Linked DNA regions of Diceros bicornis minor. The protein of the gene in region 1 interacts with the protein of each later gene in a pairwise test. Links are inferred from orthologs where the notes say so. Each region holds a gene or a part of one and is shown on either strand. Other genes may lie near its edges.

The links.
Region 2: the proteins of TACC3 (region 1) and KIZ interact in binary tests that used the Homo sapiens proteins (3 or more experiments, as listed by UniProt). The two-hybrid records come from large-scale screens. The link is inferred for Diceros bicornis minor from reciprocal best matches to the Homo sapiens genes TACC3 and KIZ.

The regions. Positions count from the first base shown.
Region 1 is NC_080747.1:1,098,058-1,113,205, forward strand, and holds the start of TACC3 (transforming acidic coiled-coil-containing protein 3), read left to right. Parts: upstream 1-8,708; 5' UTR 8,709-8,810; intron 8,811-9,645; 5' UTR 9,646-9,646; coding exon 9,647-9,808; intron 9,809-9,965; coding exon 9,966-10,108; intron 10,109-11,573; coding exon 11,574-12,506; intron 12,507-13,607; coding exon 13,608-13,683; intron 13,684-13,929; coding exon 13,930-14,083; intron 14,084-15,148. Other genes in the region: SLBP (histone RNA hairpin-binding protein), read right to left, coding at 281-397, 506-564; TMEM129 (E3 ubiquitin-protein ligase TM129), read right to left, coding at 3,174-3,422, 3,551-3,710, 4,422-4,896, 6,682-7,396. UniProt on the Homo sapiens protein: Plays a role in the microtubule-dependent coupling of the nucleus and the centrosome. Involved in the processes that regulate centrosome-mediated interkinetic nuclear migration (INM) of neural progenitors.
Region 2 is NC_080758.1:47,600,561-47,615,562, forward strand, and holds the start of KIZ (centrosomal protein kizuna), read left to right. Parts: upstream 1-7,664; 5' UTR 7,665-7,679; coding exon 7,680-7,768; intron 7,769-14,471; coding exon 14,472-14,534; intron 14,535-15,002. UniProt on the Homo sapiens protein: Centrosomal protein required for establishing a robust mitotic centrosome architecture that can endure the forces that converge on the centrosomes during spindle formation. Required for stabilizing the expanded pericentriolar material around the centriole.

The DNA.
Region 1 (15,148 bases):
ACCCACAAGCACCTTGACTAGTCGGGAAGGGGGTGACCCACCAGCTGTGACTAGTCTGCTGGTGACCCACAGGCCTTGACTAATCGGGAGGCTGGTGACCCACAGGCCTTGACTAGTGGGGAGGGAGATGATCCACAGGACTTGACTAGTCGGGAGGGGGGTGACCCACAGGCCGACACTGCTCCAAGGCCCAATGCCCGCCTCCCCCGCCCGCGGCGGCCCGAGGGAGCCCCGCCGGGCATCGCCTGACCCCTCGCCGGCCGGGCCGGGCCGGGCCCACCTGTCGGGTCTGCGGTCGCCCGCCGGCCTCGCGGGGCCCTCGGCGTCCTCCGGCTTCCTGCGCCTCCCGTCGGCTCTGCGCTTCCGGCCGAGGCTCCATCTCGCGGGGGGCGGCGGGCTGCCGACGAGAGGCCGCGTCAGGGGCGGACGGGCCCCGAGGCCCCGCCCGGCCCCGACCCCCGCCCGGCCCCGCCCGGCCGCCCCCCGGCGCGCGGCCCGGCCTCACCTGGCGTCGCCGTCGCAGCGGCTCCCGCACCGGGGGGGGCTTCGCGGCCGGCAGGCCATGGCGCGCGCGGGCCGAGGCGGGGCGCGGGGTCCGGGCGCGGGCGACGGCCTCCTCGCGGCGCCGGCGCTGACAGACTGCGCGCGCCCCGCCCCGGCCGCCTTTATGCGCCGCGGGCCCCGCCCCCGGAGCGCCCGCGCGCCAGGCCGGGCGCGACCATCGGCCACCGCGGGGGAGGCGCCGCCGCGCGCCTCGCGGGCGGCCCGGGCCGGGGCGACCGCAGCCCCGACGCCGCCGCTGGAAGGCGGAGGGCCGCCCGCCGGGGACGGAGGGGAGGCCGAGAGAAGCGGGCCCCGCCGGCGTGAGGCGGCCGCGCCTTCGCGGGCGAGGGAGGGGTATTGGCGGGAGATTCGGTCGCGCGCGCCGCGGGCGTTAGGAGGGGGCGGACTCCGATTGGCCGGCCCGGCGGGGCGGTCTCCGCGCTGGCGGGAACCGGGAACCCGGAAGGGGAGGCAGGCGAGCAGCGTCGGGTCGCGCGCAGCGCTGTCTCTTCAGCTTCGGCCGGAACTTGTTCGCGCGGAGATGCCCGCGCCGCGAGGCCCGTCAGTTCTCACCCCCGCGGTTTCCGGCGCCGCCTCCCGCGCTGACACCGCGATCTCCGGGGCCCTGGCCCGGCCTCATGCCGTCAAATGCTAACGTGTGCAGAAGAGAGGAGACGAGGCCCCGAGTGGCAAGAATCAAACACTGAAGCCGCAGAGAACTCGAGTCCGCCCGTCGTGTTTCAGCCCGTTATATGCACCACTTTCCTAAAAACGTTCGGGTCTGGCAGTGACGTGGGGGCAGCGAGGGCGCTGTCGAGGAGCTCCCCCGGCCGAGATCCCGGGCGGCCGGGTGTGGCTGCCCTCCTGGGCCACCCAGGCTACCCGGCACCTCAGGGGACACGGCCGCGAGCACGGGGCCGGAGGCCTCAACCAGCAGGCCCCGCACCCGCGGGCTCCTGCATCCTGAGCGCTGCTCACGGACCCCGCCCCCAGAGCCCTGGCCGCAGCCCCTTCACCGGAACACCAGGCCCAGGCCCAGTGCGCCCACTCCCGCAGGTGCCCCAGAAATGGGCTTCTTGAGACCCCCGCCCCAGCTAGGAAATTAGAAGGGAACTTCCTGGAGCACCCGTCTCCCTTCTGGTTCCGAACAGAACGCACACGTTGAAGTGGGCACGACACTGCCACTTCTAAGTTGGCTTTTCCTCTTTACGAAAGCTCGAATACCAGAAAACCAAAATATTCCGTTTGGAGATAATATAAAGTTCAGACTAACATTTTATTAAATATGTATTGCTTTGCTGCAATAGGTGTATCTTCATAAAACTAAGTAACTCTTTTGTACTAAAAATTACCGCAGACCCAGCCCTCCCTTGGCAGCACCCAAAACTTCAAGCTGAAGCTGAGGGTGGCTCCTGGCTGGCCCCTCTGATGGCCTTCATCTGCTGAGCACCCTGCGGGCACACAAATCTGGGCCTTCTCCGCTCCCAACTCCCTGGGGTTCAGTGCAGCCTTGGGCAATCCAGGCCAGCCGGGTCCATCAGCCCTGCTTAGGATGACCAGGTTTAGAGTGCTTAAGGCCCCAGGTTTCAGGGCTCCAAGCGAGGGCCCCTCCAGCAGCCACATATGTCAGAGCTGGGGACTGGCACTGCCCTCCCCTGGCCAACTGTGCCACCAGGAATCGGGAAGACACCTGTCCACACCTTGACCACTGGGCATGTCCCCTCCTGAAACAGATGGACCCTGGGGGGCTGTGGCCAGCCCTGCGCTGTGTCCCAACAGGCTTGTTGGCTGATGTTGGCTGTCTCAGTGGCACTTGATCTTCAGCTCAATACCCACGCTCGGCCAAGAGTCTGAGGCTTGGCCTTTCCCTGAACCCATGGGGGCAGCAGCAGATGTAAGTGCACGCCCCTCCAGGAGCGGGTGGCTCCCAGAAACACACAGGAAGGGAGCTGCAGCTGAGAGCAGCCAGCCCTTCCCCCAGCCCCTGAGGGGAAGCCCAGGATCTCCCTGGGCAGAGAGCAACCCCTTGGCTGGCTGCAGCCACTGGGAAGCTCTAGGCAGTGCTCTCACCCTGGAGCAGTACCCCAGGTCTCCCCCTGCACCTGCAAGCTCTGCCTGAGTGCTCAGAGCAGCCTCTGGGGCGGGGGGCGCGAACACCACAGGGCCAGCAGCAGGCTTGGGGACAGAAGCAGGAAGAAAGGCTTCGGCCAAGTCTTAGAGGAATCTAGATCTAAAAGTAACTGAGAAGCAGGTGTGCTCCGTAAAAATAAGGCAATTGGCTCACGTTAGACACACTGGGACCTCCCAGAAGACAGCTCAGGAGGCCCAGAATGCTCTGGATATGGGCCCAAGGCTGTGTTCTCTGTGCCCAGCACAGCCCCACCCAGAGAAACGGGAGCGAAGGAAGCAGAGGCACTCAAGACCTTCCTTGCTGCCAGTGCCAGGACCTCAGCTGGAACTTCCTTTCCAAACAGGAGCCCTTGCACTTCCACAGCCTCAGAGCAGAGGCAAGTTGCCCGCTGGGAGAAGAACTCTGGGCCTGGGAGCCTGGCTGCTCCCCAAGGCAGTTGTGGGGACCCTGGCACGGCTGGCCTGGACCAAGGCTGCTCCCTTGCCAGGGCCTGGCCAGCTCAGCGCACAGCGCACACATCCAGGATGCAGAAACGCGCACGGCAGGTGGGGCAGGGCACGCGGCTGGCCAGCCAGGTGTCAGGGTGCTGCGGGTCCTGGCGGCTGGCGAACCACTTGCCCATGCAGGTAAGACACCACATGGGGCGGCAGTAGCACTGCTGGCACTCGCCCTCAGCTGCCTCCTGGCACGTCTTCACCAGCTTCACACTGGCACGAGTCTGCATGCAGCCAATGCAGGCCTCCAGCTCCTGCAGGTGGGCCGAGGGGATCACGGGGAGCCTGGCCAGACGACCCCATGGGGCCCCCCACCACCCCAGGGACCTGGCCCATAGGAGCTGGGCTATGGGACCCCGCCCACCCCTGCCCAGCCCCTCACCTGGCTGCTGGGAACCGAGTAGGCCGGGTTGACCGCCACCAGAGAGGCAAACGTCTCCAGGAACAGGTCACCCAGGCTCTGGCGGATGACCACGTTGGCCGCGCTGCGGATGGGCGCCTGGAGCTTCTCACACAGCTCGCCGTACTCCGTGGAGTTCAGCCTGCAGGGAGGCGGGGCTGCTGGGCTGGGGCCGCTGGACTGAGGCCCCTCGGCAGGGCAGGACCATCATTTCCCGGCAACCTGACACAGATCCTGGGGCAGGTGGCAGGGAGGCCAAGGCTGTGCCCCGAGGGTGACCAGGGCACCACAATCACACAGAACATGGGGACTCAGGCACAGCCCAGCTGTCCAATGAAAACCAGCCAACAGAGATGGCCCTGAGGCCAGAGCCCACGGACCCAGCACTGCCCACCTGACCCCACTGGCTGCAGAGAGAGACAAAAGGCAGGCCAACTGCAGCTGAAACACAGCAAGGCTGGTCCTCAGCAGACCCAAAACGTGTCTCAAGAGCTCAGCTGGAATGGGACACAAGACCTCAGCTAGAACCCAGACCTCAGAGCTGAGGCAGCCACCAAGCGTCTATCCTGTACAGCCACCAAGTGTCCCCAACATGCTCCCCAAAGAAGCTGAAAAGGCAGATTCAGAGAAGAGCTTGGAGAAAGAGAGAGGAAAGGGTACTTGTGGGGCGCAAGGGGGGCAAGGGATGAGGGGGCCAGGGAGGGGCCTGGGGGGTGCAGTGGGGGCTCTGAGGGGGAGGCACTGGAGGGATGGCTGCAGGGGCTGCTCCACACATCATCGCCTCCCGGGGGGCACAAAGACTGGAACCTGGGCACTGGCTGGCTCACCCCCACCTGACCTCGGGCATGCCTACCGGATGTCGAAGGCCCGCACGGCAGGGCTGGCGCTGGCCACGTGGATGGTGAGGAGCTGCACCGGCAAGTTGGAGTCCGGCGAGAGCTCGTGCTGCTGCGACTGCGTCACTGTCAGATGCACGTCCTGCTGCTGGGCCACATACACGCAGTACGTGGTCACCTTCATCACCCACGTGTCCGTCACGATCACACGGGCTCCCGGTGCCCCCGTGGCAAACTTGTCGATCCGCCGGAACTCGGTGTTGACAGAGGAAGCAACGGCCCGCCAGTCCGACTGCGGAAGGGCGTAGAGGGCCAGGGTACGGGCCAGTGGGTGGCGGGCCCACCGGTCCCGGGACCAGTAATAGATCAGGGAGCAGGTGACAGTCAGCAGGGTGACCACCAGCAGGAGGAAGAGCTGCCAGGCCTCTGGGGCCCGGCTCGGGGAGTAGAGCTGCTTTTCTGAGGCTGCGAAGCACATGCCTACGTAGTAGCCTGCAAGCAACAGAGTGAGTCTCAGCAAAGGTCGGGACTGCCAGGCCACTGTCCTCCCCCAGTGAGGGCCACAGTGCTGTCCCTGTACCTCCTAGGGAAGTTCCTCTCGTCCCCAACCCTGGGCCTGGCCCTCTGCCCTGGTCAGCTCCCAGGGCGAGACCAGGGTACCCAGAGCAGGTGGACCTCACCTGCCTCCACACTGGCCCAAATCAGCCTTGACCCGGACAGTGACCCCATAAAAAAGGGAAAAACGTTTTTAATTTGCTACTTTAATTTTACACAACATAAGAATACTGAAAAAAACTAGAAAAACAACAAATGCAATGATCTGGTGTCACCAGATGCACAGCTGCCCTCCACAGAGTGGGATCTTGGCCTCTTGACCCCACCCCTCTGAGTGTGACCCATCCCAGGGCTGGGACATCGTGTGCCAAACGATGGGGGCTGTCAGCAAGAACACAGGAGCCAGCTCCGGGCCCCTGCTGGCCAGATTGAGGCCACTTTGCACTCAAAATGAATAACGCAGATAGTGATGGGGTGCAGTGGCAGCTATGAAATCACAAAAATAATGACATAAGTTTGCTATTGCCGAAATCACTACATTTTAAGATAATTTATCATGTAGCGACAAATATGATTCAAAGTTTCCCAAAAAAGGCATTTCAAAAGAAGTTGGAAAACAAAACAAGACCCTGTGTCCAGCCACAAGGCCAGGCTCCACCTCCTCCTCTGGGTGTGGCCTCCTGGAGTCACTCTGCTCCCTAAGTCCTGATGTCCCTGCCCGTCCTCGGATGGTGGCCCAGCCCCCCACGGGCTCCAGGAAGCTGGAGGGCTCCTGAGCTTCCAGGGCAGAAGCCAACCCGCCACCCTCAGGGGAGCCCAGGCCCCAGGCCGCATGCTCCTCACCTGGGCACGGGGCTAATGGGCTGCCCTGCTCACAGGGAGCTGGGTGCTCTGTGGAGGCGGCCAGGCAGTTACCGCAACACCACGCAGAGCAACCACCCGGCCCATAAGACATGGGCCACCAGCTCACCACGCCAGCTCCCTCCCCATCCCGGCGTGGGCTCCACTCGGCGCGCCGTCCACGCAGGCAGGCAGCCCCCATGCACCGGCCGGCCTCAGCCCAGGCCCCTCCTGCCGCTCCCCATACTGGCCAGGCTGCTGCGCGCCTGCCAGGTGGACACTCCTCCGTGTCCACAGAGCTGCAGGCAGGGCCACCGCCCCTGCCCTCCCAGACCTGCTTCCGCCTGCGTGTTCTCCGGACCCCCGCCTGCTCCCCCACTCTCCAGCCAGTCCCCCGTCCACCCAGCTGACACTCCGACCCCCAGAGCCCAGCTAGGCCCCAAGTCACTGCCCAGCACGACCCCTGGGCAACTTCGGAGCGGGCCGGCCACACACATGCCTTCCCCGGCCTCCGCACCTGTAACAACCCCGCCTGGCGTCGCTACCTCTGCCTGCCCTTCCCACGCCCACCGTCCAAGGCCTGGGGCAGGGCCACCTTGTCCCCCAGACCCCCGCCCTCAGACCCTTCTCCGGGGCACTGCCCCCCACCCCATGTGACCGCTCGCGCCTGCCCCAGCGGGCGAGCATCCCCCCGGGGTCCGAGCCTGCTCTTCTGCTCCCTGCGAGCGGCCGGGCGGGCGGACGCAGCCTCGCTCTCGGGGCTGGCCGCTTCTCCCCGAGCGCCCTCCCCGACTCTCCGAGACAGGTGACCCTGCGGCCCGGCAGCCTCTGGAGCCCGCAGCGCGGCCGCCTCCGCCCCCCGAGCGGGCCCCGCCGGCGCACCGAGCGGCAGCAGCGAGTGGCACAGCAGCGTGGCAGCCGTGCGGCGCAGGTGGTAGGGCACGAAGGCGGCGTCCTCGCTGCCCAGCCAGCCCGACAGCAGGTTCTGCACCGTGAGCCCGGCCGAGTGGAACTCGGTGGGCGTGAACACGAAGCACACGGCGAAGACCAGGTAGGCCAGCGTGAACGTGACCTCCGGGCTGTCCATCGCGCCGCCGCCGGGAACCGTCGGCGAGACCCGCCGCCCCCGGCGCGGGGAACAGGCCCGAGCTTCCCGGTCCGGTGGGCGCGGGGCACCCTGGGAGAGGGGGCCCACGGAGCCGTTTGGTAGATAGAGTCCTCGCCTGCGGGGCACTCTGGAAAATCGGAGTTCCCGTGGAGCACTCTGGGAAACGACGTCTTCGCCCGCGGGGCACTCTGGGAAATGGGATTTCCCGTGGAGCACGCTGGGAGACGAGGTCTTCGCCCGCGGGGCACTCTGGGAATGGGAGTTCCCCCGCCCGCGGAGCACTCTGGGAGATGGAGTCCCACCGTCAAGCCGGCGCAGTACGCTGTGAGAGATCGAGCCCCGTGGGGCACTACGGAACATGGAGTTCCCGCTTCCCGCACATGACCCGAAGTCGTGAGCTGCCGCGACAATCCTCGCGAAGGTTCGGCTCCTCCTCACGACCCGGCCTGGGGGCGGCGCTACACCTGGTCCTATTTTACAGCTGGGCATACTGAAGCCCGGGCGAGCGGCTCTCAGGCTCCGGCCTTTCCGCCCAGTCTACCGTCCGTAGCAGAGCACGAGATCCCCAAGCGACAGCAGGCCCCGCAGTCATCGTCTGCCTGCGAGCACCCCTGACCCTCCACTCGTCGGCAACGCGCGGCTCCCGAGGACTTCCGGCGCGCACTGCGCCCAGCGTGCTCCCCGCCCCGGAAGCGGTACCGCCGGCGCGCGGGGGCGTGGCCTTAGGCGCGGCCTCCCATTGGCCGGCGGCGTCCCGTGCGTCGCGCCCCAGCCGCGCGTTGATTGGCCGCGCGCGCCAACCGTCGGGATTTGAATCGGCGGCGGGCGGGCGGGCTCCTGGACTCGGCGCCTCTCGCTCTCTCGGCTCCGCACCGCGGCCGGCAGGTAAGGCGGCGGCGGCGGCGGCGGCGGCGGCGGCGGGCGGGTCCCGGCCCGGGGCTCCATCCCAGCCTCCTCCGCACCCTCCGGCCCGGCCCCGGCCTCTGTCCGCCGCGGAGCTGCCGACACCCGCCCTCCCGGCGGCGGGTCCACCCTCGGCGTGTCCCCGCGGCGCCCCTGCCCTCCCGCCGCCTCTTCAAGGACGCTTTCTCGCCGGTCCCTCTCAGCGGGCCCATCCCGCCGGCCCGCCGTAGCCCGGAGCGGAGCCGGGTGACCTCTGCCCCGCCGTCCGAGACGCCCGGCGGGCTCCTGCCTTCTTGGCTCTTCCGCCTCCCCTCTGTCGCCCTCCGCGAGGGTCATCCTCCAGGAGGTCCGTGTGTCGGGGTCCCTCAGGGCCTGGCCCGCGGCCACCCCTCACCTCGGTGACCCTGTCCAGCCTCACATACCACCCGTAGCTGTGGTTTGCAAATGCACGTCTCCAGCACCGAACGCGCGCCCGGCTCGCTGCCCGCCCCCCTGCCCGGGTGTCGGAGACGGGACTCCGGACCCCTAGCCCTTCCGGCTCTGCGCGGCCACGCCCCCCTCCAACGGGGCAGCTTCTGCTGCTTCCTCCAGCCCCAGCTGTGAGCCGTCACCCACTGCCGCGCCCCTGCGCCGCAGACCTGGGCGCGAGCCCTCCCCGCCCGCTGCTGCCCTACCGCAGTCCGCGCACGCAGGGCGGCCTCTGCTCCGGAGCCCCCGCCCGTGGTCCCGTGGTCAGTAGAAGCCAAACCGACTGAGACCGCCATCACTGTTTTCCCACCTTCCCCAGGCCAGGGACGGCCAGAAAGCTGTCCTCGAGGCCCCCTTCCGTGTTTCACCCAGTTGTTCAGGCGGAAGACCTAGCTGTCACCTTGGACTCCTGAGTCTTTCCCGCTTCCACACACCGAAGGGGGGCCCGCTGGCCAAGCCAGGGCTGACCCAGCCCAGGCCTGCTGCAGGAGCCTCTGACGCCACTTCCCGGCCTCCTCTCACACCCTCCAAGGTGCCGACCTCACACCCCTCCAGGCCCCCTTTGCACCTTTCTGCCTCAGACACCTCAGCCTTGTTCGAGCTGCAGCCCCCAGGGCCCCCACCACCAGCAGGTACCCATGGTGCGGCCTTGCGCAGGTCCATACCCAGTTCTCTGATGACTCTTAGATTGGGAATGTCATGTTGGCGACCATGATGAGAACTGTAGGAAGGAATGGGGCTGTTCCAGAACCTTCTGGGCCTGACTGGAGGCTCCTGGTGTATTTCCAGACTCCAGGCCCCGATGTAGAAGCTCCCCACTTAGTTCTGCACCTCACTGCGTATTTCCTTTGCCAGCTCCTCCTCTGGGCCTTGGCGGTCCTGCTGCCCTCACCTTGTCTCTATTTCCCAGCCACGTGGGGAAGAGTGAGCCACCGCACCTTTCCGCTTTTCTTTTCTTTGCCAGCGTGGCCACCTGCTCCAGCTCTGACACAGCCTTGGCGCCTCGAGTGGAGGCCTGTGGGAGACCTAGGCTTCCTCTGCCTCTTCTGGTGTTCTCCAAGGCCACCTTTTACTTGTCTCTTGACTTTTACCCATGAAGTTCGAGTTGTTGGGAGCACCTGGGTTTTCCTCTTTGCCCCAAAGGCTGAAGGCCCTTCTAGCCCTTAGGCCTGGGAGGTGGTGGCTCCCCTGCAGCAGGACAGGGAGCACCTGGCAGAGGACACACTGCCTGAGGTGTGACCAGCTGCGCAGGAAGGGGCCATCCTCCCGGCCGAGCTGCAGAGTCAGCTCCATCTTTTTCACGTTGGTGCATCCAGGCGCCGCAGTGTCGCTGCCTTCATGCTGACACACGCTGTTTGCTTTTTCAGAATGAGTCTGCAGATCTTCAATGACGAAAATGTCACTGGTGACAAAAGTACAGAGAACTGCAACTTCCTGTTTTCACCACCAGAACTTACCGGAAGATCATCTGTTCTTCGTCTGTCACAGAAGGAAAATGTGCCACCCAAAAGCATAGCCAAAGCCGTGAAGGTGAGCGCGTTGTGCCTATGTGAGATCACCGTGTGTCATGTTAGGTCACCTTGGAACCTGCTTTCCTGGTGACTTAAATGAGCTGCCAGGGCAGGGTGCTCCTCGCATAGTGGTTGAAGACGAACTTGGTGAACAGGTGCTGTCTCCCTCCCAACAGGTGACTTTTCAGACACCTCTGCGGGATCCACAGACGCACAGAGTTCTAAGTCCTGTTGTGAGCAGCAAACCGGAGGCTTGCTTTGCTCTGGGTGACGCCGGAGGGTTAAGAAACCTTCCTCAAGTCTGGACGCAGAAAGAGAAGTAAGTGTGGGTGCTGCTTGTGTACTGCAGTTTGTAGCATCTCTCGTAGACTCGGCAGGAAAATTCTGCTCATCTGGTTGAGTTTCTCTTGGTCTCGCTCTGAGCTTGTGTGGTGCATGGTCCAGAGTATTTGGCATCGGAAGTCGTTACTGGAAAAGTGGATAATGGAACACTTATAATAAGTTTAAATTTCATATTCCATTCCTTCGTTGTACCCTTGCCAACAAGTTGGCCTCATTTTTTGTTTCTCTAGCTTCACGAAATGTCCTGCTCACATCTCTAAGGAAGGGCACTTTGTGGTTTTATGTCTCTTTTTGTGTTCCACTGGGGTCTCTCTTCTGCTTGCAAGTTGAGCTGTGTTCTTTTAAAGGCAGAGGAGATGTCTGTTGTGTAATCTGGTCAGAGTGCGAGTGGCCTCAGGGACCAGGTTTTAAACACCTGGCTTTAACTGGGAGAAGCTTCTTTGCAGCCTCACCTGGAGTTAGGTGTTTGGCTTGGTCTACTAAGTGAGTGCCACGGCCTTTCCTGCCTCTGTCTGGAAAGGAGAACCCTAGTGGCAGCTCTTCACCCCCAGATTAGGCTGAACTAACCCAACTGAGGCCCCCAGGGACCCTCTGCATCCAGAGTGGGAAGGGTCCTCACTGGCACATTTTCATTTTGACTTTTGCTGACTTAAGCTGTTTAAAACTTGCATTTTCTTCTAAACAGGTTTCAGATGTACAGAGCAAGGTATAAAAGCAAAGTATCGCTAACATATCCTTCACCTAACTTAAGTAAAATGTTCTTGGGGCCACGGTTCTGTTTCCTCGTGGAAGCTCCTCGAGCCTGAATCTGTTCCCCTCCCCAGGTGTCCTTGCTACTTGTCAGCTTCAGTTTTATACTTTTTGAAATTCAGCTGAGTGAGATTAGAGGGACTTAAATACTGTTCCTTTATAACAGCCTCAGGAAGGGAGGGAAACCCGGCCTCTTGGCCGCAGGATCTGACCTGCTTCGAGGGCCAGGGTGGTTCCTGCCTCTGCCCTGTTTCTGCAGAGCCACAGAGCAGAAGTCAGGGAGCAGGCCAGGAGGACCCAGGGAGGGTGGCCCTAGGAGCTGGGACCCTGCTTTCTGAAGGCAGTGTTCTCGACCTGCCTTTCTCTCTTCAGTGAAGGGCTTGACCCTCGTGTGCCTGACTGTCCCTGACTATGTAGCTGGTGGTCCCCAACCAAAAGGGGAAAGTAGGGTAGCACAGAAAACCTTAACTTTGGTCATGTATCTGTCAGGTTTCTGCTCACTCTCAGAAACCCGTGTGTCCCTAGGTTGCTCACCAGCATTGATTTATGGGACTATACTTGTGACAGTTAATCCTGAGGAGATGGTTGACTAAACATTCTTTTTTTCTGTTTTTAGCTAATGTTTTCATGTGGGCTAAAATGTAAAAAACAAAATGGGTTGCTTAGTATTAACTAAGTCTGTTTCTAAAAAGCCAACAGTTCACCAAGGAAGTGGACACCAAAACGACCGATGGAATTCTCCAGAAACCAGCAGTGCTGGATGCCAACCCCCCTCCAGGGGACGTGAGACCAGCCTCTGAAGACAGGAGTTCCAGCGGGCCCACCTCAGCTCCCCCAGCCAGCCTGAACCCGTCAAGCTCTCCCCAGATGCTGGAAAGTCTTGAAAACCAGGTGGCATCTCCAGGACGAATGTCTGGCAGCCCTGAGCAAACCTTGGAGGCAAACGTTCATTTTTATTCCTTAGAGAAAAGCATTACATCCACTTCTGAAATTCTAGAAGACCTTCTCGGGATGGTGTCCCAAGACAGAACAGAGGACCCTCACACAGCGGCAGGAGGAAGCTTGCAGGGGATCCCTGCTTCCTCGGCCGGGGCTGCTTCGCCTCCTAGTCCTCCACCCGAAGGAGCACATGGAGAAGGGCCCCTTGCAGACCTGCCTGGCAAGGCCCTTGCAGACCCTGAGGATGCTTCTGGTCCTGAGAATGCCGCCCTGGCTAGCCCTCTGAAGGCTGGAGAGGCCACGTCCCCAAGTCCTCAGAAGGAAGAGGCCGATGGTCAAAAGGCTGACTCTTGCAGGAATGGGCCCATAAAGCTAGAATTTGACTTCTCTGATGAGGCTGCCCCCAAAAGGCCGCCCCCACCAAGGAAACTGGGGAAGAGACCTGGCCTTAAACCTCCCTCGAGGAGACCGGAGGTGAGGCAGAAGACCCCCAAGGAGGCAGATGAGGGTCCTGTTCTCCCTCTCTGGGGGTCTTACAACCTGGATTGGGACAAGCTGGACGACCCAAACTTCAACCCGTTTGGAGGTGGAAGGGAGGCTCGGCCCCCAGAACACCCCCAGGACGGTCCCGGGGCCTCACAGCTGAGCACTGCGCCTCCGGGCTTGGAGGACTCACCTCTGAACCAGTGAGTATGGGGTGGCAATGTCAGGAAAGCTGCTCTGTGGTATGTGTGCTGGTGGACCTGTGACCAGAAATGCCGCCTACGTGCCCCTGAGAAGGGGCCTCAGGGCACACACGGGCCCGTCCCGAGACAGAGGAAGGGTGCTCACAGCAGCCTTGCCTATTGTGAAATAGCTGGAAAGAGAGTGTCCCTGCGCCCTGTTACGTCCTCTCCCCCACCCCCGCTTTTTTTTTTTTTTTTTTTTGGTGAGGAAGATTAGCCCTGAACTAACATCTGTTGCCAATCCTCCTCTTGTTGCTGAGGAAGACTGGCCCTGGGCTAACATCCATGCCCATCTTCCTCTACTTTATATGAGATGCTGCCACAACATGGCTTGACCAGTGGTACGTAGGTCGCGCCCGGGATCCGAACCTGCAAACCCCAGGCCACCGAAGTGAAGCGTATGAACTTAACCACCATGCCACCAGGCCGGCCCCTTGTGCTTTTTAAGAATACTACGTGTAATGAGTTTAGAATTTCAAGAAAGATATCTAGAGAAGAAAAAACACCCATTATCCCAAAGATGATGAAGGGCCGTTAGCACTGGCTGTGGCTCTTAAAGGCTCTTTCTTGTCTCCTGGTGTGAGTGCCTTCTCACGTGCTCACTGCTCTCTGGCGACAGCTTCTTGGTGGCCGCCAAGTGTTCGGTTCTAAGAGAAGCTTGGCCAGCAGCTGGCCAGCTCACAGGCTCGCAGCTTCTCTGAAGAGACCCTGACTCCCTGGCAGGCTGCCGTCCCTGCCCTGGAACTGCCCAGTGAGAGGGTCCCCATCCGGCTCCCTGCCCTCCCAGCTGCTTTTGCCAGTTTCCCGGTAGAAAGGATGAATGAATCCTTGTGGTTTGCTTTGTTATTGAGTTGAAACTGCCTCAGAGCTCCTTGTCTGCTTCCAAGCCCTCCTTCTAGGCTCACGATTCTCGCGCAGGAGAGGTTGGTGGGGACGGCTTTGCCGGGTCACCCAGCTTAGCCCCTGTGCCTGGCTTCCTAGGTGCGGGTCCACAGTGCAGGTGGCAGCTCAGGGGGTTGGTGGGACAACATGGGCACAGGCCCTGCTGACCCTTCTCTTCAGGCAGGTGCCTTCAGCCTCAGCAGATGACACACCTGTGGTGCAGACCCTGGCCGGGACCTCAGGAGCAGCCGGCGAGGTACAGAACGCATGCGTGTGCGTGACCGAGTGGAAGCGTGTCCCAGCACTGTCGCCACCATTTGTGTATTGTGACCACAGAGGGAAGCCAGTGGTGACCGGGTGGGACACACTGCTGCCCCTCAGGCCCTGCCCCCCACACCCCCTCATCTTGACAAGACTGGGTGAAGCAAAGGCCCCATCCAGGACCCTCGACTGCACGGGATGCCCAAACAGCCACCCGAGGTGACACTGACCTTCCTTCCAGGAGGGAACCATGAATTCTTTGGGCACATCGGCTCCCACCAGCAGTCTAGGCAGTGAGCCGACAGCCTCACCCGCTGACCCAGCGCCCCACCCCCGGCAGGGGCCAGAGCCAGCCTCAGACCCGAGTGACGAGCACTTCCGAGACCCAGCTGAGGGTACGTTGTCCCTTGGTCATCACTCATCTGTTCCTGCTGTCGATTTGCCTGAAACATGTCCTGTGAGCCTGTGAGTTCATGGCATTTGCAGGTGATCGTTCTACAGGCTACTGTGTTCCCAGATTGGAAGTTATTCACGCAGAAACTTCTGGTTTGTCAAAAGATGGGCATTTTCAGGAGAACAGGACTGATACCTCTATAACATAAGGGGTTTCCAGAAATGGAAGTTGTAGACTCACTTAGAAAAATAGGCAAAAAGTATGAATGAGGCTCCGCACAGATGCAGACACAGCAACACGCTGGGCCTCGCCCGTCGGAGAGATCCTGCTGGAGTGAGAGCCCGCGGTGGTGAGACGAGCCGCTCAGGCCCCTGCTGGGGAATGAGGCTCGGGGCTCCTGTGGGCAGGAGGGCAAGTCACTGATGTAAGGTGAGAACTTGTGACTGAATTGCTTTGAAAGCTATAAGACAACATGATGGGATCTCAGTTGTGGTTACGTACAATCCAACAGGCACGGGGAAGACAAGATGGATCGTGGGGTTTGCCTATGGTAGGATAACCACGAGGTCCTCACCGTACAGGTGGGACCACAGCAGTGGTTGAGGTCTACTAGGGCAGGCCTGCCACCCCCAGGGCCCCTGGAGTCACATGTGTGGGTTTGTGTCTGGTCTTCCACTGAGTGTTTCCGAGCTTCGTCCGTGGGTAGCGCGTGTCAGTCTTCATTCCTTTGTCTGGCTGAACAGTGCTCCACAGCGTGGACAGACCGCGGCTTGTTGGTTCATTCCCCAGTTGAGAGACATTTGAGCTGGTTCCACTTTTCAGCTGCCATGAATAAGGCTGTTATGAACATTCCTGTTCACTTTTTTGTGTGGATGTGTTTTCCATTTCTTTTGGGTGGATATACCTAGGAGTGGAATTCCTGGGTCATATGGTAACTCTGTGTTTAACTTTTGGGGGAACTGCCAGGTTGTTTTCCAAAGTGGCTGCACCATTTGGCAGTCACTTTACAGCAATGTGTGAGGGTTGGGATCTCCCCACGCCCTCGCCAGCACTTGTCCTGACTTTC
Region 2 (15,002 bases), on another chromosome or scaffold:
GGGTTGACACAAAAGGACTGAAACTGAATCCGGGATTGAGGTTCCCAACTGATGTCAGCTACTGAGTCAGCAGCAATGAGTTCAGGAGACCTGACCCCTCTGAGTGGGCATGTGAGTGCAGGGCCAGCAGCGTTGATAAAGGACAGAGAGGACGCTTAGGAAATGACTCTGAGAGACAGAGACAAATAGTAAGAAGCAGAACATGGGCCCTTACCTCTGATGACTCTCTTCGTCTCCCAAAGGGATATTCTTCTTGCTCTCTGAAGAAGTGATGCCAGCTTGTGTTTACCGAGGGCTAACTCTACCAGGCGTGATTCTAAGTGCATCACACAGACGACCACATTTAATCTTCTCAACAAGCCTGAAAGGAAGGCACTATTACTATCACCATTTTACAGGTGAGGAATTTGAGACACAGCAAGGTTAAGTAATCTGCCCAAGGTCACACAGCTTGTAAGAGGAAGTAGTAGTATACCACGCAGAGGGGCACTTGAGCCAAAATTCTCAACCTCTGTGTTCTACACTTCTCTAGGACACAATGGCAAATGTTTGTTGGAGCAGGGAGGGTGTTCTCTGTGGTGGACACCACCCAGGTGCCCCAGGAATGAATGAAGCCAACATTTCTACAAAGACAAATGCCATGGATAATTGCAGACAATAAGAAGTGGACTGTTTTACACCTGGTACCCTGTCACCTTGTAAGCATAAACACATAGACATCAAATTAAATGGTATTTATTATGCAAGACTCTTTGGTTTCAGTCTGCTTGTGAGTTGTGAGAGCAGGCCTAGAGCATCCCTTTGTTTCCAATCCTTGTAGTTAGGAGTACTTGTTGAACCCTGATGAGAAGTGCATCTAAGTGGCAAACAATTATGAAATCCACCAAATGATTTTTGAGGAGAATCTCAGCATTCAAAGATTGCTCATGCATGACATCAGCACCTACAGGGATGCAAGGATGCTCCCCACGCACCAGGAGTCCAAGGCTGTGGAGTAGTCCCTCCCAGGCAGAACCAAGACACCATCCAGGGAGACACCACGCAGGGAGAAAAGAGTACAAGGACTTGGGTGTGCGGAATTTATCACTTCTGAGGATTCCGCTTTGTCAACAAATGAATAATCCTGGAGACCTCAAGGACTTCAGTGGAAATAGGCATGCAAGAGCTGTGAGACAGAGGGAGCCCATCTCCCTGAATTAGTGAGGCTCTAGCTGGAGCCATTCAACTACTCTATTGTTCTATCGTTTGGCTGTTATTTAGCTTTCATAGAACTGGTGTATTTTAGAGACCCACACATTAGTTGTTGGTTTACACGATATGAAATAAAATGAGGGAATCTATGATTTCATTTTATTTATTGGAATTTGCACCTGATTCTTATTGTTTTAAATTAGCTATTACAAATACATTTGAGCAAAATGTTCTTAGTAACCTCATGCCCTCGTGTATTAGTCAGGGTTCTCAAGGGAAACAGAACCAGTTAAGATAGATAGATAACTATATCTATATCTATATCTATATCTATATCTATATCTATATCTACATCTACATCTACATCTACATCTATATCTATATCTGGAGAGAGAAAGAGAGAGATTGATTAATTTTAAGGAATTGGCTTATGCAATTGTGGGGGTTTGAAAGTCCATAGGGCAGTCCTGCAGGCTGGACATTTCAGCAGGAGTTGATTTTGCAGTCTCGAGTCTGAAAGCGGTCTGGAGGCAGAATTCCTTCCTCTTTTGGGAACCTCAGTCTTTTCTCTTAAGGCCTTCAACTGATTGGATGAGGCCCACCCACATTATGGAGGGCACTCTGCTTTACTCAAAGTCTACTGATTTAAATGTTAATCACATTTTAAAAATACCTTCATAGCAACATCTAAACTGGTGTTTGACCATACAATTGGGCACCATGGCCTAGCCAAGTTGACACATAAAATTAACCATCGTACCTCTCCTCTTGACCATCATCACCTCCCACCAAGGATGACATCTTACCTTCCAGTTCCTGCCTTTCCACTTCCAAGTAATTTATGACTCCCCTCTTCCCCCACCATGCTAATCCATCTTTCCACTTTATCTCTATATCTGCACTGTCCCATACATAGCCACTAGATACACATGTCCTCTAAAATTTAAATTTTAATTAAAATTAAATGAAATAAAAAATTCAATTCCTCAGTAGCACTAGCCACATTCAATTGCTCAATAGCCACATGTGGCTTGCAGCTACCATATTGAACAGCGCAGAATAGAACATTTCCATCATTGCTGAAAGTCTATTGGCCAGAGCTGCTCTAGATGGTTCTTCATTGTAACTTTGCCTTCACTATCTAGGCTTCTCTTCTCAGACATTGACTCCTTTTTTAAAAATTTATTTTTTTATTGAGGTAACAATGGTTTATAACATTATATAAATTTCAGGTGTAGATCATTCTATTTTGACTTCTTTATAGACTACATTGTGATCACCACCAAAAGTCTAGTTTCCATTCATCACCATACAACTGTGCCCTTTTACTCCTTTCACTCTCCCCCCACCACCCTTCCCATCTGGTAACTACCCATCTATTCTCTGTGTCTATGTGTTTGTTTGTTTTTGTTGTTTTTTTAATCTTCCACATATGAGTGAAATCATATGGTATTTGTCTTTCTCCATCTGACTTATTTCATTTAGCATAATATCCTCAAGGTCCACCCATGTTGCAAATGGTAAGATTTCATCTTTTTTTTTGACTTAGTAGTATTCCATTGTCAGACATCAACTCTTAATCTCAGAGTTCCAGGTTTTCAGTCTCCTTCGCCATCTGGATAGTCACATAAATCCATTGAAAATGTTGTAGAAAGTTGTTTTGGTGCATTTGTGTAATTGTTGCATGGAATGTTTGTGTATTAGTCAGGATAAGTATGCCAGCTGCTGAAACAAACAACCTCAAAATATCAGTGGCTCAATATATTGAAGGTTTAGTTCTTGCCCAAGACACAGTTCTGTGCTCTATGCTTTGCAATCATCCACTCTTCTTCCAGGGCCTCAGAGTTCTCCATTGGATCCTCTGCATCTAGCTGGCCAACTAATGAAAAATAAGGAAGAGAGTGCAGGATGTTTGGAGGCCAGGCCTGGAAGTGGCTATATCACTTCTGCTCATACTTCATTGCCAGACTGGGTCATATAGACCCATCTAACCACTAGAAAGGATGAGAAACGTAGTCTTACTGAGTGCTAAGGAGGAAAATTAACAGAATGGTGAACACATAGTGTTATATCACAGCAGGTAAAAAATGCATTCTATGTCAATGAATATTATTCCTCAAATAATGAACCATGTATATGTGTAAACCCTTCTGGGTCACAAAATATATATTTTACACATCTCATACAAGGAAAATAAAAAATATCAGTAGCTGTCAAATGATGAGTTTCAAGGCCATATAGAATGGAGGATAAGAAAGGATAGACTTTGGATTTGGAAAAGATCTGTTTGAATTCTAGCTCTACCACTAGCTGGTCAAGAACATACTGGCAGCATGATCTTAGGCCAGGTGCCCTCAAAGGACTGTTATTGGGTTTAAATAAGGCAATAAATGCTTATACTGGTGTAAATGCTCAATGGGTGGAGGGGTTCCACATACATATTCATGTGGCATCACAGCCTTTCTCCCTACTTTCTACTTTTGAGTCATCTCTACTTAAAAGTGAATTTTCTAATAGCATAGGATGCAATGTCAAATATTTCTGAATAGTGATTGCAAAATGAAATACTTTCCATGTTCATGTCTGTTACAGGTTGAATTGTGTACCCCCTAAATTCGTATGTTGAAGTCCTAATTCCCAGCACTCCAGAATGTGACCTTATTTGGAAATAGGGTCATTGTGATATAATTAATTAAGATAAGGTCATACTAGAGGAAGGTGGGCCCCTAATCCAATATAACTAGTTTCCTTATAAAAGGGGAAATTTGGAGACACACATGCACACAGGGAGAATGCCATGTGAAAATGACTTCAGAGATCGGGGTGATGCACCTCAAGCCAAGGAATGCCAAAGATTGCTGGCAAACTTCCAGAAGCTAAGCGAGAGGCACGGAGCAGAGTCTTCCTCAGAAGGAACCAACCCTGCCCACACCTTGATCTCAGACTTCTGGCCTCCAGAACTGTGACACAATAAATTTTTGTTGTTTAAGCCATCCAGTTTGTGGTACTTTATTATGGCAGCCCTAGCAAACTACATAATATAATATCCAAGCAGTTATTGACTCAAATATACAGGATTTAATTTTAAAATTGTGTGGTGTTTACATTTTAAAATGTAAAATTCTAATTTCAACATATTTCCAAAACCAATCTTCCATTCATTGATCCAACTGTTTCTGAGCTACAAAAACGGCAATTTCATATGGTTCACCCAAAGAGCCATATGTCTACTGAGATGAAACACTGGCTTTCTTTACTCTTTGCCTAATGGGGCCATTAGGGACCCATCTTTGGAACTAGACTCATTAACATTACACAGATAATCAGCTGTGACCCGGGCCAAGTCCCTTACCTGCCCTGAACCTTTTTCTCCTCTAAAAAAACAAGGGGGTGAAGCTAGATTCCCTCTAACTCGCAGCTAAGACATTCTGTAGCTTATAAGAAGACTTGTCCATCTAGGCAGACTTCATGGCCTGTGGTCCAGGAAGTACAATCAGAGCTGTTTACAGAAATCAGCTCTGCTAATATAAAGGGATTTAAGAACAATATTAAAAGGGAGTGCTCCAGCAAATTAAATATTCAAAGTGAAAAACTCTGCATTTAATAAAAGTCTGTCACCATTTAGAATGCATAATTTTAGCATAAATACTCTAGAAATATTCATTTAGTTTGCTATGTGTTATTGTTAATAAAGAGGGTCCTGCATTTGGATTTGTCATATGTCATTAATAAATCAACCATAGAATGCAAATTTTAATTATTTTGAATTATCTATTTACTGTTTAATTATATTTAATTTTAGACTCTCCTAAAATGGCCTAATAAAAATTTGGGATGCTAAACGATGCCTCACCTGGTTACTCTATGTATTTACTGAAAATAATTAGTTACATTAATTGTTTGGGGGATTTTTTTCCCTTAGAAAACTAATCTGGGTGAGGGGAGACCTAAATAAAATATGCTAAAAAGATGCATTTTTTTTTTTTTTTGCCAGGGTTGTAGTACAATGTTGTTTGCACTAAAATCACTAAAGTAAACCTTTGTACACTATGTGGAAATTAATAAACATAAACCTGACTAAAATGGAGTCAGGTGGCCAAAAGGGGGAGCTCTGACACCCTATGAAGATAGCAGAGCCCAATAGGAAGAAGAAAGACTTCCTCTTCTTGCCAGCAACAGCTCAGCCAATGATAGACTACCACAACTCAGCCAATGAAAAGCCACTACACTTTAAACTCCCAGTCTCCTCCTCTTTGGAGGACTCTTTGTTTACATTAGCCCTCCCAACTTCCTCTTCCCCTCTATAAGAGTTTCTCCTCCCTTTTCTGCAGGACTTGCAGGTGGCTTGACATGGTTGTAGACCTTAGATTGCAATTCTTTGCTGATCCCAAATAAACCTCTTTGTGCTGGAGAAATAACTGGCTGTTTAAGGTCCACAACTACCATGGAATCAATTTGGTATAATGATTTGATATAACTAAATAAAAGTAACATCAGGATTACCCTTAGACCTAGGCAAGAGGGCCCCTACCCTGGCTTCTGTATATTACAAAGCCTGTTCTGGCCCTTTTCTGGCCATGCCATTCTATGCAAGGCAAGGAGGCCCAGGGCCAGGGGACATGCCTGCCTAGAGTGCGCTCTCTCTCTCTCTCTCTCTCTCACACACACACACACACACACACACACACACACACACACCCCATTCTGCAACACATTCCAGGTACCTATCACCCTGACAATCCCTGCTCAAAGGGCCCTAACCTCCTTTCTGAGGCCCTTAAAGACCTCTTTCCTGGACCCTTCCTGCAAGGGTGACTATCACTTCCTGCAAGGTGCTCGCCCTTAGGCCTGAGGAGTGGCCAAGAGGAGGCTGAGGTGAGGATGAGGACAGAGCTAGGACTTGTAGACTGGGGTGGCGGCGTAGGGGAGACACACACATCCCTGCCAGTGTGTGCAGCCCCTCACAGTGCAAGACTGGGCCCGGGGCGGGAAATAAAGGAGTTGGCTGGGGAAGGAGTCAGAGAACTAAATTTCCCTCTGGCTTTCCAGGTTCTTATGAAGGCACATTGGCCAAGGTAGGAGGAGAGAACATATTTTATCTACAAATTGTCATCTTGATTTATAATTGTTTAATATTTTGACAGATGGTATGAGGGCGTCCATTCACACTCTTGCCCTGGCCCTGGCAAATGTGAAGGGAAGGCTAAGTAACATTATAATTTTATATTATCGACCTTTGAGTAGTCCATCTCTCTTGCTAATGATTGATTTACTAGTTTAAGTCACACCTTGCAAGTAAGTGAAATTAATGACTGAGAAAAGAAACCAAAAGAAATGAAGAATAAGAGACTAAAGAAACTATAATTTCTTTTTTTCTGCCCTGCAGGTTTTGGAGTATGGTTGGCTTTCTTCAGGAAGCTTTTCCCCCAAGTTGGTGATGATGTTGATAAAAACTGATGCTTCCTATGTGCTGGGCCCTCTTCTAAACACTTACACACGTTAACAGATCTAATCTTTATAGCAATGGCATAGCTAGGCCCTGCAGTAACAATCTTCCTGGTTTTACAAATAAAGAACCCTGGGCTTCAGGAGGGTGACCTGCACTTGGTCACACAGTTGGGCAGTGGAAGAGGGGATTTGAGTCTAGGCAGCCTGGCTCAAGTCCCTGCTACAGGATTCTATATCTGCACAAACAAATGTCTGCTTTGCAAGCAACTTGTTAGCAACTTTCCTCTCCTCACCAACTAGTAATGTGACCTACAGCATTAACCACATCCTTATGGTCAGCACGGATTTACAGGTAAGGGATTGTTCTGCTGTCAGGGCTGAACACAGTTGCTTACAATTTTGTCCTTTTTTGTGGTGTTTTCTTTTGCTTTTAAGTGCTGGTAGGAAACCAAGCTTAGCACAGTGCGTGGCACTCAGCATATCCTGGGGAGAAGAGAGGGAGAGGTGGCGGGAGGGAAAGAGAATGCATCTTGCAAAATTAATGTAGTTTCATGCCAGGACAAAAAATGATCACGTGACTTGCTCCCAGCCACGCTCCATCCTTTACCCATGGTGGGGATCAGGAGTGGTCTTCTGACTGACCCTCAGAGAACGGCTCCGCCTGGAGGAGGACCAGGGTCTGTCCCGTGAGAGTTCTGAACGGTTAGGGAGAAGGAAGACGCCAGTCTCCGGCAGAGAGCCCTGGGCACCCAACCCCCAAGGACCCCTGCCCATCCCGCAGCGTGCAGCCTGGGCCGGCTCCCCCCAAGGCGGCCGTCAACCTCTCCCACGACACCCCGCCTCCGCCCCGCCCCTCCACGGGCCCCGCCCCTCCACGGCCGTCTACCCCGCCCATTCACGGCGCCCCGCCCCGCCCCCTGCACAGCGTCGGGGCGCCATGTTCACCCGCGGTGCATGGTGGGGCCGTCGCCCCCGACAACCCGCCCCTCCCCTCCGCGCGCTGGCCCGAAGCGGCGCGGGGCGAGCGTGGCGGCGGCGGCATGCCCCAGGCACCCGCACGGTCCGCGCCCCTGGCGAGCCCCGACTACTATGAGAGGCTGGGCCGCCTCCAGCGCGGGCTGCGGGACAGGTACGGCCTACCCGAGGCGGGGGCGGGAATCGGCCGGCGCCGAGGGTCGGCTGGTGCCCTGCCCTCTGTCCTTCCCACTCGCCCCGCCCGTGGGTCCCCTGGGCCTGGGTCCGCCCGCGACGGCCCCCAAGCTCCCACTGGGGCCTGGAGGACAGAGTTTACCGGAGAGACCCCCGCGTTGGAGATCTCCCGCTGGAGGACGCGGCCGCGTCACTGAATTTGCCCGGAAGTGGGAGTAGGAGTTCTCCTGCCTGTCACTCTCAGTCAAGCCTCGTGAATTTCTCTAGTTCCTTTCTACACGCCCCCTCCGCAGTCTCTTCAAATTGTCATCCCACCCTGACAGCTGCACTGCATCAGTGGTGACAGGTCCAGGAACGCAGGCAGGAGAGTGTGTGTGTGTTTGTCAAACATATGCCCTATTTAAATGCGGGAGACTTTTTGAGGGCCATAGTTCCAACGAAGGGATGAAATTTGCAGACAGAGAAGTCCAGCTTCTGGAGTATTCATGATACCTTGATTAAGACGTGGAAGATGAGAACCGCTGAAGACAGCTAGATCTAAGAGCACATAAAGAAAGAAAATTATAAAGCACTTTGCTATAAATAACCACATAAAAGATAAGTTGTTGGAACTATTATTTAGCTGCTAAATTAATTGGTGTTGGAAATCTCATTAGTTGACAAGAAAGGAAATAGATGTTTGGATCTCTTGATAAACAAAAGGTTTAATGAGTGTTAAAGTTGCAAAATCATTTTAGTGAAGAGAGCTGTGTGTGTGTAACAATGCTAAAATGACAACAATAGTTACGTGTAAGGTAAAGGCAGAAGTAAGTGGTTTTGAAAAGGAATTATATTGGTTTTATGCTACATTTAATTTTTGTCAAATATTTATGGAGCGTCTACAACAGTCCTCCTGAATTGTCCTCACCGTATTTTACTCTTTAATCTTTTTCTACATCCTATTTTCTTTCTGACATACCGCCGCTCACCCACCCCAGGAACCTCCTCAACTCCAGCTTTTGAAAAATTGCTTCCTTCAGTGCCTTCCCTGCACCAAGTATTGATCAGCCTGTTCCCTAACTTATGCAACCTCGGCATTCTTAAAGGACTCTAGATAGTGGCTTGAGTGACTTGCTCCCTGCCTAGATGGAGAATTCTAGGAGCTCAGAAACCATATCTAGCTGAAGCTTTAGCTGATAATAGAGTACCTTAGGTGGAGGAGGGACTTGATATATGTTTGTTCAAGGAATGGAAGAAATCCCACGTCAACCAGCTAACGTCCAAGAGGTGTAAATGTCTTGTATAGAACACTAGCCACACATTGCCACTAAATAATGACCATGTTCCAGTCAACCAGGAAGAGTGGACAGTGTGATATTTCAAAGATGATATTGTGTCTGCGTATACTTGATAATTAAAAGACAAGACATTGCTCTGTGCATCAGTACACTTAAAGTGCTTTTTTTTTAAAGAAAAAAACCCAGTTTCTTTAATGTTGTTTGTTATGTTGTGTTTAAAATGAAACCATTGGGGCCAGCCCCATGGCTTAGCGGTTAAGTGCGTGCCCTCTGCTACTGGCGGCCCGGGTTCGGATTCCGGGGGGGGGGTGCACCGACACACCACTTCTCTGGCTGTGCTGAGGCCACGTCCCACATACAGCAACTAGAAGGATGCGCAGCTATGACATACAACTATCTACTGGGGCTTTGGGGAGAAAAAAAAAAGGAGGAGGATTGGCAATAGATGTTAGCTCAGAGCCAGTCTTCCTCAGCAAAAAGAGGAGGATTAGCATAGATGTTAGCTCAGGGCTGATCTTCCTCACACACACACAAAAAAGCCATTATATAAGATTAAATACATTAAAAGAAATCACCAAGGGGAAGAACAATAAGAGTAATAAAATAATTTTGTGTGTGTGTGTGTGTGAAGATCAGCCCTGAGCTAACATCTGCCAATCCTCCTCTTTTTGCTGAGGAAGACTGGCCCTGGGCTAACATCCGTGCCCATCTTCCTCCACTTTATATGGGACGCCGCCACAGCATGGCTTGACAAGCAGTGCGTCGGTGCGCGTCCGGGATCCGAACCCATGAACCCCGGGCCGCCGCAGCGGGGCGCGCACATTTAACTGCTTGCGCCACCAGGCCGGCCCCTAAAATAAATTTTAAAATTTCAATTCTGCTCCAAGGTTCCTTAACCATTTTGAAAAACTAAAGTTTGGTTTATAGATTCAAACCAATTTAAGCTATTGTCCCATCCCCAAAGTGAAATCTTATACTGAAGTCCAGCTCCAAGTTAAAAAGCAAACAAACAAATAATAAAACAAATTCACCTCTGGGTGTGGGTGTAATTTTTTTTCTTTACATTTTACTAATTTATTTTTATTGAGGTCACGTTGGTTTGTAACATTATATAAATTTCAGGTGTACATCATTATATTTCGACTTCTGTATAGAGTCCATCGTGTTCACCACCCAAAGTCTAGTTTCCATCCGTCACTGTACACATGTCCTGCTTTACCCCTTTCACCCTCCCCACACTCGTCTTCCGCTCTGGTAACCACCAATCTGTTCTCTGTACTGTGTGTGTTCGTTTTTTGAGTTTTTTTTTTTTTTTTTTTTAACTGCTTTTTGACTCTGTTCTGTTAGAATAGTAGCTTAGTTACCCCAGGCCTTTAGTTATTTGTATCTCTTAGCCCAAGTTCTAAATTTTAAAATGTCGCTGGTTCAAATGGCATTCTTTTTGAACTAAGTTAATTGTAAGTTATCATTTTTGCTTCCTGTGCTAGGAACACCTGGCTGTTTATAGTCCTTATGGTATAATAACTGTGTAATGATTATTACTTAATGTTTAACACTTAATGCTTTAACTATTAAGCAAGGTGAGGCTGTTGAAATTATATAAGGAATTTGAGTCAAATTTTATAGCCTATTCATGGTTCTGCCTTTGGAGGTTGGTTTTATTTTTAAGTCAGTACAGATCTGTTGCTGTGTGTACTCATTTTTCATTTTAAAAGTCCATAACTAACTCTAATGCATAGTTGATAAGTACAGAGGCGAATAATTTTGGATACACAGAAAAGTGCAGTAGAAACATGGAAACCTGGGTTCCAGTCTGTGAACTGTTGTGTGACCTTGAGCAGGTCGTTCAGCCTCTCTGAACCTTGGTTCTTCACAGAAATGAGAGGCCTTGACTAATATGTAAAGTAAGGCCACAGATTTTTTTTTCTCTAGTAAATAAAGAGCCTCAAAGTAAAAAAGTTGAAAGCTGTAGTTTTGTGAAGCAACAAATAATGAATATCATTGTCTGTATCCTATTTGAGTGTTTGAATGTACCTGTTTTTCTTAACCAATCCCGCTGACCACAAGGACCATTGTCTCCTAAAGCTCCAGAAATTTACAGGCTACGACCTTGGGTAGTCACAGCTGCTTTATCAGTCCACAGATTTCCTGGGAGTGAGAGAGAAAAACAACCTGCCCTTTCTCAGCCCTGTTAGAGGTGGGTGATTGCAATGTTAGCTGGTCTAATAACTGGGCTTTTCCCTTGTACTTGGTGTGTTTCTAGCCCAGATTGTCTTAGCTGTAGTCACACATAGATATAATTTTATATTCTGAATTTTTTCCTTTTTGTATCAGTGTTTTCTTTGCATTGTGGGAAGGTCGTTGAATCTACAAGAGCCTGATGGAATGACTCTGTACAGTGCATATAGTGCCACAAGTGTGGTAGAAACATGTAAGTGGAGTTGACACTTACAATTATATAAAAACATCTGTTTAAAAGGCCCATTAACCAGCCCCAGTGTTTTCAATAGCAATATTGATTCAGGGTGAGATATCGTAAAGGTCCAGAAATTGATGCTGAGGTATTAGTTGAGTAAAGCTGAAGATGATATTGATACAAAAACTGAATAACAGGTGGCTTAAAAGGAGGAAACTAAACCACATGCTACACTTTAAGGACCACCCAGCTGTGTAAAACTTCGAAAGGTCCAAGTGAGGGGTGCAGGTGCCTGAAACCATTGGCAGTGGGTACATATCCCTGGGCTGGATGTTCCAAAGATTCTGAAACAGAGATTTAATCTGTAGGAATTGCAAGATGATCCTCCCAATAATCCTTTCTCTGGCTTTTTATTGGGGTAGATATCTTGTTTTAAGTCTTAAATTTAAAACATATGAAAGACAGCACTCACAGGCACTGCTGCATGGATGATGAGGTTAGAAAATGGGCCTGTGATGAAGAGTGAATGAGATTAGCATCATTTTGCCTGGAATAGAAGGCCAAGAGGTGTTTGTGGTTTTTCAGTGTAGGAAGTGTCATGCTAGAGAAGAAGTTTGACCAGTCTGTCCCTACTGGAGATAGAGCAAGAACAAAGAAGTTTTATGTTCTTTATTAAAAAGAACTTGCTGCTTGTGAGGTGGTGGATTCCCAAAGAGACTGTAGTCCTTCTTCACTAGAAGTCAGAGGTAAATTGTTACAATTATTTTGAAATGAGTTCAAGCTTACAGAAAAGTTGCAAGTAGAGGACAAAGACCTCTAATATTTCCCTCACCCAGATTCCTCAACTCTTAACATTTTGTTATATTTTCTCTTTCTCTTTCTATCTAAAATTATTAATCTTTTCTGAACCATTTGAGAACTGCAGATATGATGCCCCATCACTCCTAAGCACTCCAGTGTATAGTTCCAAAAAGCAAGGATGCTCTCTCTGTGATCACCATATAACTCTCCCAGTCAGGAAATCAATGCTGATATACCAATCCACAGACCCCAGTCAAATTTCACCAACTGTCCCAGCACTGTCTTTTTTATCGTCTGGTCCAGGAGTCCACCTGTGAACCCATTTGCCATGTCTCTTCAGTCTCTCCCCATCTGTACCTATTCCTCAGTCTTTCCCTGCCTTTCATGTTCCTGACAGTTTCATAGAGTACAGCTTTCATTCTGGAGAGTGAGCCTCAAGCTGGGTCCATCTGATGTTTCTTCATGACCAGATTCCAGTCATGCTTTCTTGGCAGAAATTCCACAGAAGTAAAGCATGACATCAGAGGCACAAGGTCATAGATGCCTTTAAGGGTCTGTCTCATAATTTAGGGACGAATTGCTCACTCTATCCGGACATTCATTTTTCATGAACTAAGTATCCTATTGATCACTGAACCTTAGAAGGGAGGAAAGTGACAAATAAAAATTTCTAACATGGAAGCAATTATACCGTGTTTCTTTCACTTCTGAGTTCAGTCTTCTTAATGAGAAAATAAAGATCTGTGTGGAGCTATTAGATTAAAAATTTGTGTTTCTGTAATTTTTTTTCTTTTAATTATTTTTCCTTTTTTTTTTTTAACGTAGGCATACCCCAACTGAGGAAGAGATTATTCCCCAAGCAAAGATTCAGTGTTTGGATTTTGGACCCCATTTTCCCATTAAAAGAATTTTGGTTAAATGATGGTTTCCATTCTAGATTATGCTAAGCAAAGAAATTTACTTAACCTATAATTTAGCTAACAGAGTAACTTTTGGGCTTTTTTTTTTTCTCTGAAGGAAAACAGAAACTAATAATTAAGAGCTCACAAATGGAATGTGGGCTCAGCCCCTGTCCCTCAGGGGGCCAAGCTAGGCTCACCTTCTGTTGGACTCCTTGTCGTTGATTCAGTCTTTTCTTTAGCATTTTTCTCTCAGACATTATGTGATTTCTCTTTCGGCCTTTAGTTATTGTTAACTTAGATTCGCAGTTTGGCTTCAGTTAGATGGGATTGAAGCTGGTACTTTGGTGGTGGTTGAGCGGGGCCCTCTGTGGTTAAACTTCCCAAGGACTCTTTTTGGGACTGAGATGGCTTCTCATTTAGCAGTTTTACCCCTAGCCCCTTGGTTTTGGCTGCTACCACCCCTACTGCCCAGTTTCCCCTACCTCTTGCCCAGGCTGGGTGTGCAGGGTAAGCTCTGTCCTCTAGCTGACTGCCAGCACTCACCTGATCATCACAGGATAGCAGTCAGTGACAAATCACGGCGATGTTACAAAGTTGTAAAAAGAAATCCCCCCAAATTTGAAGTAATAGTGTTAGGGGGCCTAGTCTTCATTAAATGTGAGTGAGGGCAGGTCTACTTTTCAGAGACCTCTTCCTAACTCAGTTACTTGGCTCTGCCCAGGCTTGTCTAGTTGGGAACAGAGCAAGCCACCAGTCTTCAATCTAGGGTGGATTTGTGGAGGCATTGTGTCCAGACCTGGTGGGATCCCCATCGTTCAACTGTCACCATCTCAGAGAAGTCTGGCCATATCATATTTTACATATTTATCTTGTTTATTGTCTCTCCTTCCCCCTAGAATGTCAGCTGCCTGAGGGCAGGGGCTTTGGTTGGTGTACACCGGATTAGTCTCCAGACCTAGAACAGTCCCTGGCTCATCATGGCACTCAAGAAATACTTGCTGAGTGATTGAACCTGCTTCCCAGCCTTTTCTTACTGCATTTCCCCATTTACTTTGAGAATCTTGTTTTTGCTTCATTTCAGTGTCCTTTTTGCTTTTTAGACTTCCGTGATGACTGCTAAGTATTTTTGTCTTGAGTTTCAAACGCAGCTGGCATTTTCTGCTTCTTAGAGAGGCCAGAGAAGCATTCTTACAAAGGTGTGATTTCAAAGGAGATCATGTTCTAAATCCAGCAGCCTATTACTTATCAGTGTAATTATTCATAAAACATTTTCTTTCTGTATTATAGTGAAAAGAAGAGATTGGACCTGGAAAAGAAACTTTATGAATATAATCAATCTGATATATGCAGGTAAGAAAGGACAGCGGTAACAGTTTTTAAACCAATTTGCATATGTTAGTCAATAAAAATTTAACCCTAATATATGTTACAAATACCATAGTTACAGTACTTTTACCATTCTCTTATTTCTAATGTGTAGTAGTTTCACCTAAACATTGCAATTTAATATAATCACTGTCAAATGTAAGAATAAATTTGGTTAAAATTAGTATATGATAAAAATTATCTTATTTTCATCATTCAGTATTTGTGTTATCTCAGGAATCTATTTTACTTAAATGTCTTAAGAATAAGATGGATTATAGGCCGGCCCAGTGGCGTAGTGGTTGAGTTTCCGTGCTCCGCTGCAGCAGCCCGGGGTTTGCTGGTTCAGATCCTGGGTGCAGACCTACCTACGCATGGCTCATTAAGCCGTGCTGAGGCAGCGTCCCACATAGAAGAACTAGAAGGACCTACAACTAGGATATACAACTATGT